2 linked regions of the Oreochromis niloticus genome follow. The protein of the gene in region 1 interacts with the protein of each later gene in a pairwise test. Links are inferred from orthologs where the notes say so. Each region holds a gene or a part of one and is shown in the gene's direction. Other genes may lie near its edges. The genes, in order: fcho1 and ptk6b.

Region 1 (8,547 bases):
GCAAGAGAAGGGAAAACAGGGTTGATTTAAAACCTCTCGACCTTCAAGTTGGGGACACACTGTAGCGTTAGCAGTGTCTCAGTCAAAAACACGTTTATCTTTAGCATTTAAAGAGGCTATGACTGCGTTTGGCTGTAACTCCCTCCACCCATAATCAACATATTCTCTACACTCTTCTTACTCTGCTGCTGTAACTGGAATTTACAGTAATTTATTAAAGTTACTGTAAAATTAATTCACAGCAAATTCAATGTAAATGAAATTGAAACAATGTATTTGAATTTGTAACATATTACTTTATTTCTCTGTATTTTCATTTATAGAATGTTTATTGTGTTTTCATGTACACTGTTGCAGGATTAACACAGTTTAAAATGTACACCTTTACCTGTAAAACACAGAGAAAGAAACCTACAACAAGCCTGTAGCTTTATTTATTTTTATTTATTTGTAAGTGGAACATACAGCATCCTTCTTAACAGATAAGACATTTTAATAATTTGAGCCTTGTGTGGCTGTTTTGACGGACCCTATCATGCATGTGGTATTTTTCCATCATGTCATGGTTCAGTTAGAGGAAAAGTGCTCATTAGCACGTTCCTGTCAACCCAATAATAAGAAGAAGATCTGGTTGAAGTGGCCGAGCCGACCAAACAGTCGGGTCAACGCACAGGAAAATATTTCTCACTCATATACTGTGAAATGAGATTAAACCGGCTGATCTTAACATAAGAACAAAACAACAACAACCCAGTGACAGGAAGAAGTGCAAGTTGAGTTCATTTTAGAAAGTAGAGTAAGCACGCCCCCTTGTGTCTGCAACTTTCAGTGCCGCTTTGGAGTAATTGCCAAAATGTTGAACTCATGTAGAAACCAGCGTAATAATAGTTGGATGGTTAAAAGGTTTCCAGTCTTAGAGATATCTTCTCTTAAAGCTTATTTCAGTGTGCAGTGAGTTTTTAATTTAGAAATGTAGCCCTCCTGCAAGACATCGAAAACAATAATGTGATAGCTTTAAGAACTGAGTAAAAAAATGTATAATTTATCTGGATGGACAGCAAATTAATGACTTACACTGCTGGCAGAGATTAGAAATGAGTATGACAGAGGGACAGCCTGGGTTGAGTGGGGAAAGTGGACATATTAGACAAAGGATGCTGAAGGCTGCTAGGGAGGAGGAAAAGAGGAAGACTAATGGCTGTAGTGAAGGAGGACGTGGAGAATCCTGCTGTGACAGAAGAGGATGGTAGGGATGGGGTGAGATGGAGGGAGAGGATCTGCTTCCTTGTCTCATCCAAAAAAATAAGCACAGAAAAAATAATACATACAGTAGGTAAAGTATCCATGAATAGGTGGATGTTCTTGAAAGCAACGGAAGAAAAATGATCATTTAATCTAAGAGCCGTTTTGAGTTTTTTTTACTGACAGATGTCGCTTCCTCTTCACAGACATGAGCAGCCATCTCTCTGAAACACCTCTCTACAGGCCAACAAAGCCCACAGAGAGACACAATCCCAACCCAGAGGGACGGCAAGCCAAAGGCAATGATATCACTGAGACGTGGCACAAGGCACTTATTACCACAGATGGATCGATAGCACTCTGGGTCTCCTGGGGAGTTTGGAGGACCACCGAGGGGGAAAGAACGCTCGTTCTGTCTGCGTGTGCTTTTTCAGCAGTGGTCTCCATCCTCGGTCTCGGCAGCTTTAATTGCCTGCCTGTTCAAGCAGGAGTTAAGCTGATTTGAAAGTGCCCGCTGAGAGGCAGGAGCAGGGAGACGCACAGGAGGAGAGGTGATGCAGAGCCTGTGGGCATACGGTGGACCTCGACCTAGATAATATTTACTCTTGCCATCTCCCAATAGAAACGAGAAATAATACAACAACAGGCGTGTCCTGCCAACAATTTGTGTCTGTTTTAGTTCAATTCCTGTTAAACTCCATTTCAAGCAGACCAAATTAGGCAGACAGCAAAAAGAAAAATGAGGTGACGAAACTCCCTTTTGTGCCATCTGAAATCGTTCCAGCGCCTTTAAAAATATCTTTAAAGAGTACTGATGTTGCGAGTGAGAACATGTTCACAAAGAGCCTTTAGAGGGAGACAAATGAGAGCACATCAGCCGGTGTCAGAAGCGACAGTCGAGCGGGATAAGAATAGACACAGCAACAGGTGGCAGGGATTGATGATACGTAATTAAATTCAACAGCTCGTTTCATTTTATTTGTGAGATTTTGCCGGGGATTAAAGGCTCTGATAATTATCCCCTGTTTCATTTGTGTTTGCAGATGGAAGAGGAGGAAATGCCAGTCACACTGCTTGCAAAAAGAGCGATCACACAGCTTCTGTGCCAGCATCCTGCAGATCCTCTTTCTCTCAACACACGCGTGAAAAATGCCCGACGTGATGTACATTTTGTTTATTATGTTTCACGTTAAGACATCTTAAAATATCTTCTTCCGTGACTTTGTGGTTCGCTGTAGCCTCGTGCAAACTGTAAAGGTGGAAGTGATCTAATCTAACCATCTCACAGGAAATAGCACTAACTCTAGCACTAAAGCTGAGCTGCACTTCAGTGCTTTTGACATGATGTTCTCCTGCACCCGGTGTGGATTGCAATATTGCACCGCTTATCGTTGAATCGAGCATCAACGTCTCCAGCAGAGAAACCCTCACCGCTCGTGTCTTTGATGTATAACAGCACCAGAAAGGGCAAGTGAAGGTGCACAGCAGTGAGTGGCAGCAGCTTTGCATCAACCAAAGCATCGCCACACTTTTATGCATTTCATACATCGCGGAGAAATAAGGGCTGCTGTTCCCTGATGCATCTCTCAGCAGGTCTGGACACACCTGTGTATTAAAATAACTCCTGCTCTTCCTGCTTGGCTCATTCTTGCTTGCAGTCGGCTTAATTTGAAAAATGTTTCTCCTGCTGCACAAACATTACAGACCCCATGTGAGGCTCCCCATGCTGAGTTTGGGCCTGCGTTTTTGCAGTTCACATTTATGTGTATATATGTATATATTTTTTTTTAATTGCAGAAGTGGGCCATGTTGAAATTAGACACAACTACACCCTCATACCATTTTTAACCCTGACAATTGTATATTGAATGTTTATATAATAAAGTTGTGTCCTTATCTTTTGAAAAAATCAGCAGTCTACTTCTCTTTTAACCCTCTCTATCAGCTTGATGTGTATTTTACAGGCCTCACTGAGGAACTGATGGAGAAGACTTGTTTTACCTTCTCGCAGTCAGTCAGCCTGAAACCATCACCTGCTGAAAGCCTTCTGTCAGTGTCTCCACCATCTGATTTTCATTAGGAGGTTGGCATGAGGGTTAATATATTTCTGCCACCTGCCCCGCTGAAAAAATATTTTGATTGCTGCACTTACACATGCATTCAGGCCTGAAATGTCTTAAAATTAATCTTTCAAGGTTAATTCTTCATTTCATGATCTACTGACTTGTAAACCTTTAAATCACTGCTTTTTTAAACACTTTTTAAAGTTAGAGCAGAGAATGCTTATTAGAAAAAAATATATATTTTCTTTTAAACAGAGACATCAACAGAGACATTTAAACACAGACATCATTAACTGTGCTACAGCTAAGATTGACTCTGATGGTGACATGAGATGATAAATGAATGAAGCCTTGAGCCAGTCCTGATTTCTTTACATTTTGCCAGGAAAATGGAAATAGGTGCATTGATTTGAAATATAGTGGAAATACATGCATGCATCCATGGAAGTAGAGTAAGGCAAAAACAGTCTGTATGATTCAGTGTTTGGTATATGTAGTGTTCAGGAACAGTTTTCTAGGCTTCTTGAAGGACATTCAAAGCTCTTCTTTGGGCGTTTGCTGACTTTTGTTCTGTTCTCTGATCAAGATGATCCACATTGATTCAATAATGTTGAGGTCTGGGCTCTGGGGAGGCCAATCTATGACTGTAAAACTGCATTGGCAGTGTATTTGGGTCATTGTCATGCTGAAAAATTAAACTGTTGCCAGTCAGATGCTTTCCAGATGGTGGAGCAAAATCTTACAATACTCTTCGGCATTCATAATTACATACATTTTAACGCTTTAATGCAAGCGCTCCAGCACCACTGGCTGAAATGCAGCACCAAACCACGGCCACCACCATGTTATACAGACAGCTGCAGACACTCACTCTTGTACCCTGGGCCAGATTATCCAGTGGGTATTCTGGGCACATGCATGGATGTACCTGATGTCTCTGGTAGATTAAAGTAGTTTCTATTTTTCCTCCCCCTTCTTTCCCCCTGCACTGCTGAGGGTAGTCTCTCCCAAAGTCAGGTAGCTAGTGAATATGGTACTTCAAAAACAACGGAAATAGACATGTTTAAGGCCCAACTCTTATGAAAATTCACATTTGTTTAACCAGTTTGGGAATGTAACATTGCAGTTAACTTGAAAGTTCTTTAGATATTCAATAAGAATACGTGCGTTAATTTGGAGGTTACCTCCCAGTGGATTTATGACTTAAAATGTTGGTTTGATCTCAATAAAGGAGCCATGGTGAAAGAATTAAACCCAGAGAAAATTTCTGTTTTACAATTATTATTATTATTATTATTATTATTTAATTTCTAAGTGGACACATGCCAAAAGTGCTTTTCCCGAGAAAAGCTCTACTTCATTATATGTGCATTTGGCTTTATTCACTGGGCATGAGGTACTGGTGTGTGTGAAATGTTTGCAGTTTTGTCTTGTTATACAATATTTGAAATGTAAAAAAACAATCAAAAAACTACATTTTCAGAAATATTTGTGGGTGTTTTCTTGTTTGTTTGTTTCTTTGTACTACTTAAACACTAAAGTGGCCCTCCAATGAGACGACAGTGCCGCAGGGGCCCACAGCTCATTTAAGTTTGAGGCCCCTGGTTTAAATTAACAGCTGCAACATCTAATGTGGAAACAGAAAATGTGTCTGAGTGGTCATATTTACCGTTTCCAAATTTAAAAGTTTCAAAAGGCGACGCTGTAGGAGAATGAAGAATAAAGACAGAAACGATCATCTTTTAAAGGCTTCAGAAGTTGTTCGTTGGCTGAACTTTGCCGACCTGTTGTTGATTTTGTTGTACAAACGCATAAAGGCTAAAGGTTCGTTTTAAATTGCATATTCTCGATTTTGTGGAGAAGTTATCCAATGGGCTGCCGGTGTACACTTTTAGACCCGCCTTCTTGTGGTTGCTATGCCTACTCCGCGTTCCTCTCTGATTGAAGGGAGGAGTAGCCAATCAGCGCTGAGCTGGGCGGGAGTTTGCGCTCACACTGGAAACTGCCTGGTGAATTTCTACTACTAACATAGAACCGCTCGGGGTACGCTCAAGTGTCGAAGCCGCTGAAAGCCCGGGGATGGAAAATGTGCGATAAGCTTTGTCTGAAAACTCCGTGCAGGTAATACATTCTTCATTTTCCTTCTGCCTTCCTTTGTGACATTCACTGTAGGCAGAAATAGCCTAGAAAGACTGCGCTAGTGCTACCGCTATTAAAAATATCGGGCACTAGTAGACACGCTTATTTGACATCTGAAGCGAGGGAAATCCAGCTAACGCTGAAGGAGAAACTTGGGTGAGACAAGTACGTGGGTATAAAATATAAGCTATGGCCAGAACCTGAACTTTACCTTAATGTTACTGCAGAGGCACTTGCATTTTGTTTTTTGGTCCTGCTAACGTAAACATGTTTAATAGCCTGGGTCACACTGAGAGGTTATTTCTGCTCTGTGATGCTACTTTGCAGTCATTTGGGGGACTTGAGTGAATTTATTGCCACAGGGTTGTGTCATTGGGAGGTGAACTGCTCGAAGATGGGGTTTCCTGCATGCTGAAGCAGGTTGTCTTTCGTTGTGATGATCGTTACTAGACAAGTTTATGCAATCATGGAAACCTTTGACTTATAGGCCGGTGTCGATACTGGTGTTTAAGAGTTTAAAATACTGTATGCTCGTACAGGTATATCTGTGATAACCTGAAAGCAGCTGATAATATCAGCTGTGGTATGTGCGTGACCAGTGAGGATGCCCACAAGGTGGATCAGAACCAGTCCTGGGTTAACTGCTGGACATCACAGATCTCACACCCACTGTGGGGCTTCACTGACTTGACTGTAAATGTATTGTCCTAGATATCCTTTGTCAGTTCTTAGAAGTGTAGCAGGCTTCACCGAGTGACTTGAAGACATTCACCGAGTGACTTCTTCTAATACTTCCAAGCAATAGGTTTATCATTTAATAAATGGACATATTCTCTGGGTTGTGGGCTACATTTCAGTTTGCATGCCTTTTCTGTACCTTTAAAGACACTAAACCGAGAGTTGAAACACGATATCAATAGAACATGGAAATCAGCTGATACCAGCCCCGTTGACTCATATTGGTTATCTGCAAATATGATAGCAAGAGCCACTGGCAGTTCTCTGGAACAATTGGGCAAATAAAAAACAAAAATATTAGACCAATAAAACAAAAATCAGCATCAGCCGGTGGCCAAATGACTGCTCTAGCGTCTTAAACGTTTGTGAAATTCTGGGCCAACACAATGAGTGAAACACTCAACTTAACTGAACACTCAACTCAAGTGTTCAGTTAAGACTGAAAAAGACATATTGGCAGTTTCATAATGTCCTGATTGTCGGTAAACAAGCAAACCTACATGTAAATCAGATCCACCCCCTCTCTCCACGTTCTCTCTGTCACTCTGTTGACTGCTGTCAAATAAAGGTAGATTAAGTAGTGTTAGCCTAATCTTGAATCCACTTGAAAAGGTGAAAGACGTGAAAAATCTTCAGGTGTAAGTAAAAGCTAATTTAATTTTGTTGCATCACTTTTGAGGTGCAAATCAACCACTGTCTGGTTGCACCAAAGAAACCATTGTGTGGAAATCCCCTTTTGACTGCTGATAGACATTCTCGCCATGACATTATGTTAGTTTGCAAACATGTATAGCGTGAGCCGCAGTGTTTGCAACCTCAGACTGTAGCACAGCTGTCTTTCTCTGCGTGTCTTTGAAACCAAGTGGCAGGAGTTGAGAGTTGAAAGCTGCCGGGATCTTTTGATATGAGAGAGGTAAACAACACTCTCCCTTGTGCCTTGACTACAAGAAGGTTCTGCTTCCTCCTGACTGTGAGTCAGGATGAGTGGGATGCAGAGAAAATACTGAAAGGAGGTATTTTACTATCATTAAATAAAGTATAATGCAGCAGCGTCGGGAGGAATGGATTTCTATTCTCAACTCTTTTGTTTACAGACGTCATTAGAACGGATCGCATTTGATCGCTCGCTGTTCATTCACTCACTGAGCTGCGTGTTTGTTCACACCCCCGATCTCTGCCTAAAAATCTGATTACACATGGACCAAAAGTTAGATCTCGATGTAGAAGGACATGTATACTGGTTTCAACATAAATGACGATGCGGTCTAAGTTTGTCATTTTTATTAGGCCGTTTGATGTTGTGCGTTTATTTTGTATTTTGGTTATAGACATTTATAAGGGCGTGTGTTTGCATTGGAGTTTTCTTCCTGGGAGTCTTAGTCTATATTCGGTATGATATCTAGATTCATGTGCATTATGTTCGGTCAAACTGAAGCCATCATCATAGGTTGAGTCTTAAATCAGCTAATTTGGCATTCGCTGAGTAGTTGCTTGTGAAGATGCTGATGTTTAGCTGATTATGTGGCGAAGAGCTTATACCACGGCAGTCGCAAAGAATCTCTGCTCTTCCCACAGTATTCAACAGAATTTAATCAAACTTGTACGCACCGATCACTTAATGAGTCTTCACTCGTACTGTATTCAAGGTCAAGGTCATACTTGTCATTTTAGGTGGCATTTTTCCAATTTTAACCAGAATTGCTGCTCATCCTTGAGTATTGTGTGATTTTTACCGAACCCTGCAGACAGTAATCACCTAATGGATCTTCAGCCCAATTGGACTCAAGGTCGAGGGCACGTTTGTGGCTTTTATGGGCAGCAACCTGTGAATTGTTAGAAAGATGAGTTTATTTATATATATATATATATTTTTTTTTTTAAAGAAGAAAAAAAAAGCTTTTAATGGAATTCAGTGTTTCACATAGACTTGGATTCTGTTTATCAGAGACAGATGGGCAAAAATGTTTCAATGAGTCCAAGTTACCCAGCGTAAAAGCCTCTGTGCGTGCGTGTGCGTGCGTGTGTGTGCGTGTGTGTGCGAAACACTGCATCTTTCAAGACAAAAGCACACAAACCTACAGATATTATTACGTGCCTGGTAAGGCTTTGCATTATCTCTGGAGCAGCTGAAGACAGAAAGTCTGGCTGTCTGAGTGCTGGACAGGTGCTGTGCAAGAGATATGGATAAATATTGTACGGTGAGACGTTGCACAGTTCTGCCAGTGTCCTGTTTTCCACGTATAAAATATTTGACTTTTCGTTATTTGGATTTGGTTTTAAGTCTGGGATTCACACGAACCATCCCAGCTCGTCTGCCTGGCTCTGTCTCCTTCACTGATCGTCACTGAACAGTGAAGAAGTTGGC
Region 2 (7,833 bases), on another chromosome or scaffold:
TGATGTCATTAGACCACACCCCTTCTCATTACAGAGATGCACATCACCTAATATGCTTAATTGGTAGTAGGCTTTCCAGCCTATACAGCTTGGAGTAAGACAACATGCATGAAGAGGATGATGTGGACAAAATACTCATTTGCCTAATAATTCTGCACTCCCTGTATAAACTACTACTTAGCATGTTTGCAGTATTTGGCCTGTTATAAATATTTGTTGGTAAACTAAACCTGTGTAAAATATTAATTCTAAACACTTTAAAAACAGTAAGCCAACAAACAAAAACACTTCTTTAACAGTTATCTGTTTCACACTCAGCACTGTAATATAACACATACAGCTCATCTCCAGCGAGATAATGTGCAGCAGTGAAGATAAATCTGCCTTTTAGGTCCAAGACCAGCTCGAGCGCAGCCACGGTCCCTCCAAATGATCCTTCACCTCAGCAGAGAATCCAGATCCCGGGAAGCTGATTCTGTTCATCTGGACGTTTTCACTGAAACGTTTCATCATCATCCAAGACTGAAGAAGTCACTGGGATGAGTGACGAAACGTTTCTCCCACTGAAACATTTGGACTTGTAAACAGCACATTTGCACAATGACTAACAATGGGCCGTGAGGTCAGTTTAAGATCACTAATGATCATAACCGCTGATCAGTGGTCATGAGTCACAGAGAGGTGGGGAATGGTGCAAAGCTTGGCTCTGTGTAGATTCCCCCTGACTGCAGAAACCACGTGAAACCACCGGGCTGCTGGTGCAGCTGATACAGACGGCGGCAGCGTGGGCAGGAATAAGAAACGTGATGTTAGAGCAGACACTGTGTTTACTGAAGAGAATATGACATCAACAGGATGCTTCAAGGTGTAAACGCAGAGTTGAGATCCCCCTGCACTGTGCAGGTTTGAAGTAATCTCAACATTTTGGAGCTTGAATCTGGTAGTTGAGATTATAGTGATGACACAGAGACCTCCCAGCACGAAAGACTCGGCGCTCTTCACCAAAGAAAAATGTCAAAATAGCAGAAGCAGCGTGCAAAAAGAAATGTGTTTTACAGAATAAACTGTTTAACAGTCAGGTGACGTCACGAAGCGAGCACAGAGCCGTTTGCTCGGAGAGTTCACCCACGCCTGATTATCTGACACCAGGCTGATTCTCTTTTTGGTCAAGCTCAGGATAGATAAAATAGTAATTACAGGTAGTTTTATTAAACATGGCCACCCAGACCAGAAATAGTTAAACATGTAAATATTGATCAATAGTCACTTTTTCTTAGACAGAGTGTGTCCCTTTTCTTAATATAATGTTTTATTCTTGAAACTGTAACAGGTAATTTAATTACAAATACTATAAGTCTGTGTTATACAAAAAACTATTTATTTTTAACCCATTTTTTTCCAACAGCATGTAAAATACTTGTAGTTTTAAAAACATATACATATTTGTGCATTTAATGTTCCTGACTTCTCAACTTGGCACAGACATTTTCACAATGACATTTTCTTAATGATTCTATTCAATTATTTTTAAAAAACATTTTTCCAAACAGGGTGGAAATATATATTTGTTCATTAAAAAGTACATCAGAATATAAACACTGTGACACACACCATAGTACCACATAGAAATTCCCCTCTCCCCCCTGCGGGCGGTCTATCCTGCACCTGGGGTCTTGCCTGGTGTGATAGACCCCAGCCTCTATGGATCTTGTGCTCAGAGCTTGTTCTTGTGCTGCCATGATTAGTGCCTCTGTGCTGTCTTTCAGTCCAACTTTGTCCAGCCACTGGTAGGATTTCTGGATATCAGCCACCTCCTCTATCTGCCGGGGGTACATACCGTGCAGGGGCCTGTCCTTCCATGATGGTTCCTCCTCTTCCTCCTCTGTCTTGGGTTTCTGCTGCCTGAGGTATTCCTCATGATTCCCTGTGGGTACTTGCAGGGGCGGATCTAGACAAATTTTCTTGGGGTGGCATGAGGGTGGCAAAGAAATCAAATGGGGTGGCAAAATCAAGGCTTTTTTTCCAAACACATATGCAGGTGGTTACATATGGTTAAAATGATTCAAATGCAGTAAGTATACACGTTTTTCATATAAATATAGTCTATAACTTAATTATTGTCTGTAGCCCACATAATTACACACTTTGGTTACATAAAACATGTGAGTTTTGATCTTATGTACTGTATAGCCTGTATAATAAATAAATATGTAGCCCAATAAGTATAAAATCCAGAAAGCTACACAACATGGAGCAGTTCATTTACAAACACAAGTCTAACTTAAGTTTCACTGTTTTTGGTTAGAAAACAGTCACATTGTTACAGCTTAAATTACACAAAATGTCAGAAATCTGCACTGTCATGAACAAAAATTTAAACCTAATTTTTCATGATTTGTTGGATCTCTGAGGTCTGAAATACAAGCGGCCATTTTTGACTCCTTTTGAGTTTACGTTTGTATTTCACCCTCAGATTGTTTCATTTTATTCCCCCCCCCCCCCTTGCCTTGTTTGGTATCTTTTCAGCTCAACTGAATTTAGTTGTTTTTGTCACTGACATACTGCATTAGTACTACTATTACTATTAATAGTACTATTACTGATCTGAAATCACACAAAGAACTTAAAATCCTAGTAGTATTTTTACTGTAAAAAAACCCACAGACATGTTGAGTAAATTTATATAACTTGAAATGCAAATATAAATTGTACATTTTGCCTCACAAATGATGTGTGCCAGTAAAAAAAGTTTTTCCACCAAAAGACAGAGGAGAGCAGCACAGGGACAAACCTGCAGGCCTGACAACAGCAGGTGTATCACTCCGCTGGTTTTCTACTTAGTGACAGTGTTTACAAATGTGCCTTAGTGACATTCATTAGTGCCCTCACTGACACACACAACAAAACGACTACACAACAGAACAGCTACACAAGACAACACAACACACTAAGTATACACTCCACACTAAACGTCACAAATCTCCCACATCTAAAAACTCCCTCTCTCTCTCTCCCTCTCTCACTCGCTCGCTCTGTCTCGCTGCCGTTACCGTCACTCCCAAAACTCTCCCCTCTTCCTAAACAACAAAATCCCACATGTTGACTTTTTTTTTAAATTGGTCGACATGGTGCATTTTTCCACTGATAGCAAAGAGGTGGCTTCTTTTCCTTTCTTTACTGTTTTCGCGCTGACCTTAGAAAACGCTTAAAACACACACACAAAAACGTGACGACAGTATTTAGAAAAAAGCGTGGCTTATATATATTATCATAACTCTGGATTTACTGGCCTGTAATTAAAATGTAAAAACTTGGAAGTCCGAACTTTCAATGTGGGCTGAAATAGAGACTCAGCGTGGCTGCAGCTTGTTGCTGTGTCAGCTTACATCAGTCATGTGATTTGGAGGTGCAGCGTGTCCGTGGACCACAGAGGGTTAATAACACTCACCTTGCTTCCATTTCCAGAGTGTAACATCCAACCACCTGTGCAAAATCCAAAATTCCCATGGTGTTGTTCAAAATGTGCTCTGGCACAATCATGAGCATCGCTTGCTGCTGATAACAAGAAAAAAGCCGGTCCTGCTATGGGCTGAACCATTTGTTAATGGTGGAGGGGGGAACACTATGCAATATATTCAGTTTTAGCATTTATATTCACTGTTGACTGTAACTACGCTCAAACTGTTAATGCTATCTTATTTTAATAAACAACACTGTCATATGCAAAACTGGGGTGGCACTTGGGGTGGCAAGGGATCATTTTAGGGTGGCACTTGCCACCCCATGCCACCCTTCTAGATCCGCCCCTAGTCACTTGTATCTGTCCTCTATGTCTGCAATGTTGCCTTCTGGTTGTTCGATCCCCTCAGTTCTGACTATCTTTCCTCTCTTTGTTATTAATTAATGATAACAATAATAATTATTGCTCTCTTTTTATCATTTTCACGTGATAGTTCCCCCCCAAATTCCACCCTGTTAAGTCTATGAACCTAACAGGGTGGAATTTGTTTAGCTAATCTAGCTGTAGCTCTTTAGCTGATCAACATTTAGCCAGCTAACCGTCAATAAATGAACACACCTTTATTAACTCAATCCAACATGTTTTTTAAAAATATTCTACTTAATTAACATTTTCCTCATTTGACCTTAACAGGGTGGAAACTTGAGGTTGACCCATACAGGTGTAAAATGTTTAAGATGAAAAAAGTAAAGTGACAGTTGAAGTTTACCTCATTTTCCACAGTTCAATTCCCACCAAAAACAAATGATGCCACTTCCTGTAAATGGCTTTTATGGGCTTATTAAGGTAATAAAGCACATTCTAGCAGGGTGGAAAATTACTACTGGGACAAGTACATTATGAAGAAAAAAGTAAATAAGTTTTATCAGATTCAATTGCATAATAAAATAAAGCTTAGTATAGTCTATCAAATTGATATATATAATTTTATGACATATACGTCTGGAGGAAGTTAATAAGGGCACTGTGGGACACAATGAAATTGAGCGTGTGTCACCGAAAAGGTGTGTAAAATAAAAAAAATCATATTTGAAACGCATTTCATTTATGTTTAAATAATTGCAAACACTTAAACACATCATTTAATTACTTTGTTGTACATATTTGGCACATTTTAGAAAAAATCAGGTAAGTGAATCATGTGGACATGAAATGCTGTCACCACGTCCTGCTGTAACCCGCGAGCTGAGCGTGCGGGGTACCTTGGCAAGACACCTGCGCACCTGTAAAACCCCGATGTGTGTGTGTGTGTGTGTGAGCGCGCGCAGATTGATGACACCCTCTGGGGGCGGGGCTCCCGTGGTTTCTGTGACTAAAGGAAGTCCCTCCGTGGGCTCGGCCCGTACAGTTTCACTGCGCCGTTCCCCTCTCAGGCATTCCCGACATTCTCCGCGCTCCCTGCTCTGCACCTGTCGGACAGGTGTGGCGGGCTGACTGAGCCGAGCTGCGGTGACGCACAGCCCGCGCGGAGCCGTTCATGGTCACCCATGGGTGAGTGTCTGCGCAGAGCGTGCCCCTGCCTGCAGTCACTGTGGGAGAGGATCCTCACGGAGAAGAAGGCTCCTCAGCCAGCGGGAGGAGCAGGAGGTGAAGAAGAGGATGGAGGAGGAGGACGCAGAGGCACCTGCAGCGACAGCGACGGGGAGCAGCCCCAGGCCCCGACGCCGCCTCCGAAGCCCCCGAAGGAGACCGCCTCCGAGGGCAGCTGCATCTACACGGCCATGTGGCCCTTCGAGTCCCGGCACCAGGAGGAGCTGTCCTTCCAGGAGGGAGACCTGTTCAGGGTGGTCAGCCGCAGCGGAGACTGGTGGACGGCGCGGAAGATCGACCGCAACGGGCACGTCGTGGCGCAGGGCATCGTCCCCAACAACTACCTGGCGAGGGCAGAGTCCATCAACGTGCAGCCGTGAGTGCAGCTTCCTCTGACGGCTCCCAGAGAGCAGCTCTCGCCTCTGGGAGCTCCGAGGGCCATCCCGGTGTCCGCGTTAGACAGAAGCACGTGGCGTGTCTGTGTCGCAGGAGTAGAGCAGGACATTTCCAGGATTGTTTCAGGGGTAACACACCTGATCCAGCCCCGAGAGTAGACAGCTCAGGTGTCTCATCTCTGAGCTTCTCCTGTCCAACACAGAGTTTACACTCAAACCCGACAGGAGCAAAGCTTCAGCACAAAGTGTGGCAGTATAATCATCCATGATTTGATTTAATGCAGCAGCTGCAGGGGATTTAATGACCTCCACACTGGGGCAGCTTTATTTACACAGCATCATATGATTCACACCATAAAGTCAGTACAACAGGCAGACACTAAAGCTTCTAAATGTTTACACTGAAAATGTGACGCAGCACAAGAATGAAGCAGCAGAGTGGTTTTTCAAGAATGTACGAGTACATTAAGTGTATACTTCAGAAAAGTGTCACAGTAATTTCTGATTAATATGTCACAGAACAGGTAAAGGTGTTGACAGGAAAGCTAGAAGATTTCCAGCTCAAAGGCAGAAACTCATTTTATCTGAGCAGACAGCTGACAGTTCAGTGGAACAAAGACGCTGCTTCACCTGCACACACGTGTGTGTGTGTGTGTGTGTGTGTGTGTGTGTGTGTGTGTGTGTGTGTGTGAGCCCACATTCAGAATCTCGTTTTTTATTATGTTCACGAGGCTGCTGTGCCTCCAGCTGCAGATGCATAAATCAGGATGTGTAACACCTTTATTATCAGCCAGAGTCCACAATGTCCACCTACCTGCCAGGAACTGTAAACGCTTCCTTTAACCTTTATCACCTTATCACACATTTATCCTTTATCGCATTAGTAAAACTGAGGTGAGCAGTGAAGCAGAGTGCTGTAAAAAGGCACTTTGGGAGTCAAACGGCTGTTTTCTACTGCAGTAAAGTGGGCATGTGCGTCCTGTTTACAGCTCTGCCTAAAAGTGGAAGTTTCTGTAAGTTCTGCTTTCCTGTCACTTCTGTGAAAAGATGCAGGCAGTCAGCACGGAGCGTTAAAAGCAGCCCCGCTAATCAGACGCTTTAGGTCACGGGTGTCAAACTCCAAACTTTTCCATGTATCCCTGCTGCAGCACACCTGGATACAATAAGTAGGTCATTAGCAAGACTCTATAGAACCTGAGTGCATGCTGAGGTGGCAGTTCAGCCATTTGATTCATGTTACAGCAGCTCATGAGTGGCTGAACATGGTGCAATAAAAGTACTTTTTTTCCAAACACTTGTATTTAAATTTACTTGAGTAGGGTTGGGGGTTGTCACCTCAGCATGCAGTCAGGTTCTATAGAGTCTTGCTAATGACCTACTTATTGTATCCAGGTGTGCTGCAGCAGGGATACATGGAAAAGTTTCAGGACAGCAGCGCTGGAGGACTGGAGTTTGACAGCTCTGCTTTAGGTGAAAAAATGAACAGTTCACATTATGAAGGTTAAATGTTATTAACGCTCAGCTTTTTAACGTTTGATATGAATATTTGGATGCTGTTAATCATCTTTTTGACCTGTTAAAAAACACAAACAAAAAAAACTGAAGCTTCAAAAGCTGCAGTTCCTGTAACGTCCAGCAGGGGCTCCAGCAACGAGTCTCTCATGTTAAAACTTTGCAGCCGAAATAAACATGTTTGCAGCCTGATGCACAAACTTGTTGGTCCCTAGAGATATTTTGTTTCTTCGAGTTTGCATTATTGGGGCGTGGCCTCATTGACTGACAGGTGGTGGTGACACAGGCGGCTGTAGCTGCTAGCTGTCTGCTAGGCTTTTAGTCAGACCTCTGTTATTAATGACATCATGTGACCAGTATTATGGCTGCTGTGAGGTTACTGTACTAACAGAGCATCCAAGAAGGTGGAGCTCCAAGTTTGCTGAGTGAAATTCTAGTATTTTGATTGGATGTTATGGATCAGCAGGTGTCTGAGTGATGCACCCATAGAGTCTGTGCTGACCCAGATAGCATCAGCTGATAACTTAGCGCTCCACCCGCTCATCCAAACATGTTCCCCTCAGGAAATGGACTGAGGCTTCAAAATGTGAAAGTATAAACAAGTTACATCCGTCTTCTATTTACAGTGTGATAAAACGCCAGCGAGCTGCTCGTCTTTATAACGTCACACTTTGTGCTGCTCGTTTATTTTTGTGGTTGTCCAACAGTGGCAGCTTTAATTGATCCTGACTGAGCCGTACGCTGTGAGCACCATGAGAAATGTCACAGCTTTACATCACACCAGCCCGTGTTTGTGTTTCAGCTGTGATGCAAACTGGGACGCACACACCGACGGTCAGCTCACCACTTCTCGTTTTGCCGTTCTCACTCACAGTT

The links.
Region 2: the proteins of fcho1 (region 1) and ptk6b interact in binary tests that used the Homo sapiens proteins (3 or more experiments, as listed by UniProt). The two-hybrid records come from large-scale screens. The link is inferred for Oreochromis niloticus from reciprocal best matches to the Homo sapiens genes FCHO1 and PTK6.

Annotation. Positions count from the first base shown.
Region 1 is NC_031981.2:2,372,390-2,380,936, reverse strand, and holds the start of fcho1 (f-BAR domain only protein 1), read left to right. Parts: upstream 1-5,268; 5' UTR 5,269-5,426; intron 5,427-8,547. UniProt on the Homo sapiens protein: Functions in an early step of clathrin-mediated endocytosis. Has both a membrane binding/bending activity and the ability to recruit proteins essential to the formation of functional clathrin-coated pits.
Region 2 is NC_031984.2:955,497-963,329, reverse strand, and holds the start of ptk6b (protein-tyrosine kinase 6b), read left to right. Parts: upstream 1-4,769; 5' UTR 4,770-5,007; coding exon 5,008-5,426; intron 5,427-7,833. UniProt on the Homo sapiens protein: Non-receptor tyrosine-protein kinase implicated in the regulation of a variety of signaling pathways that control the differentiation and maintenance of normal epithelia, as well as tumor growth.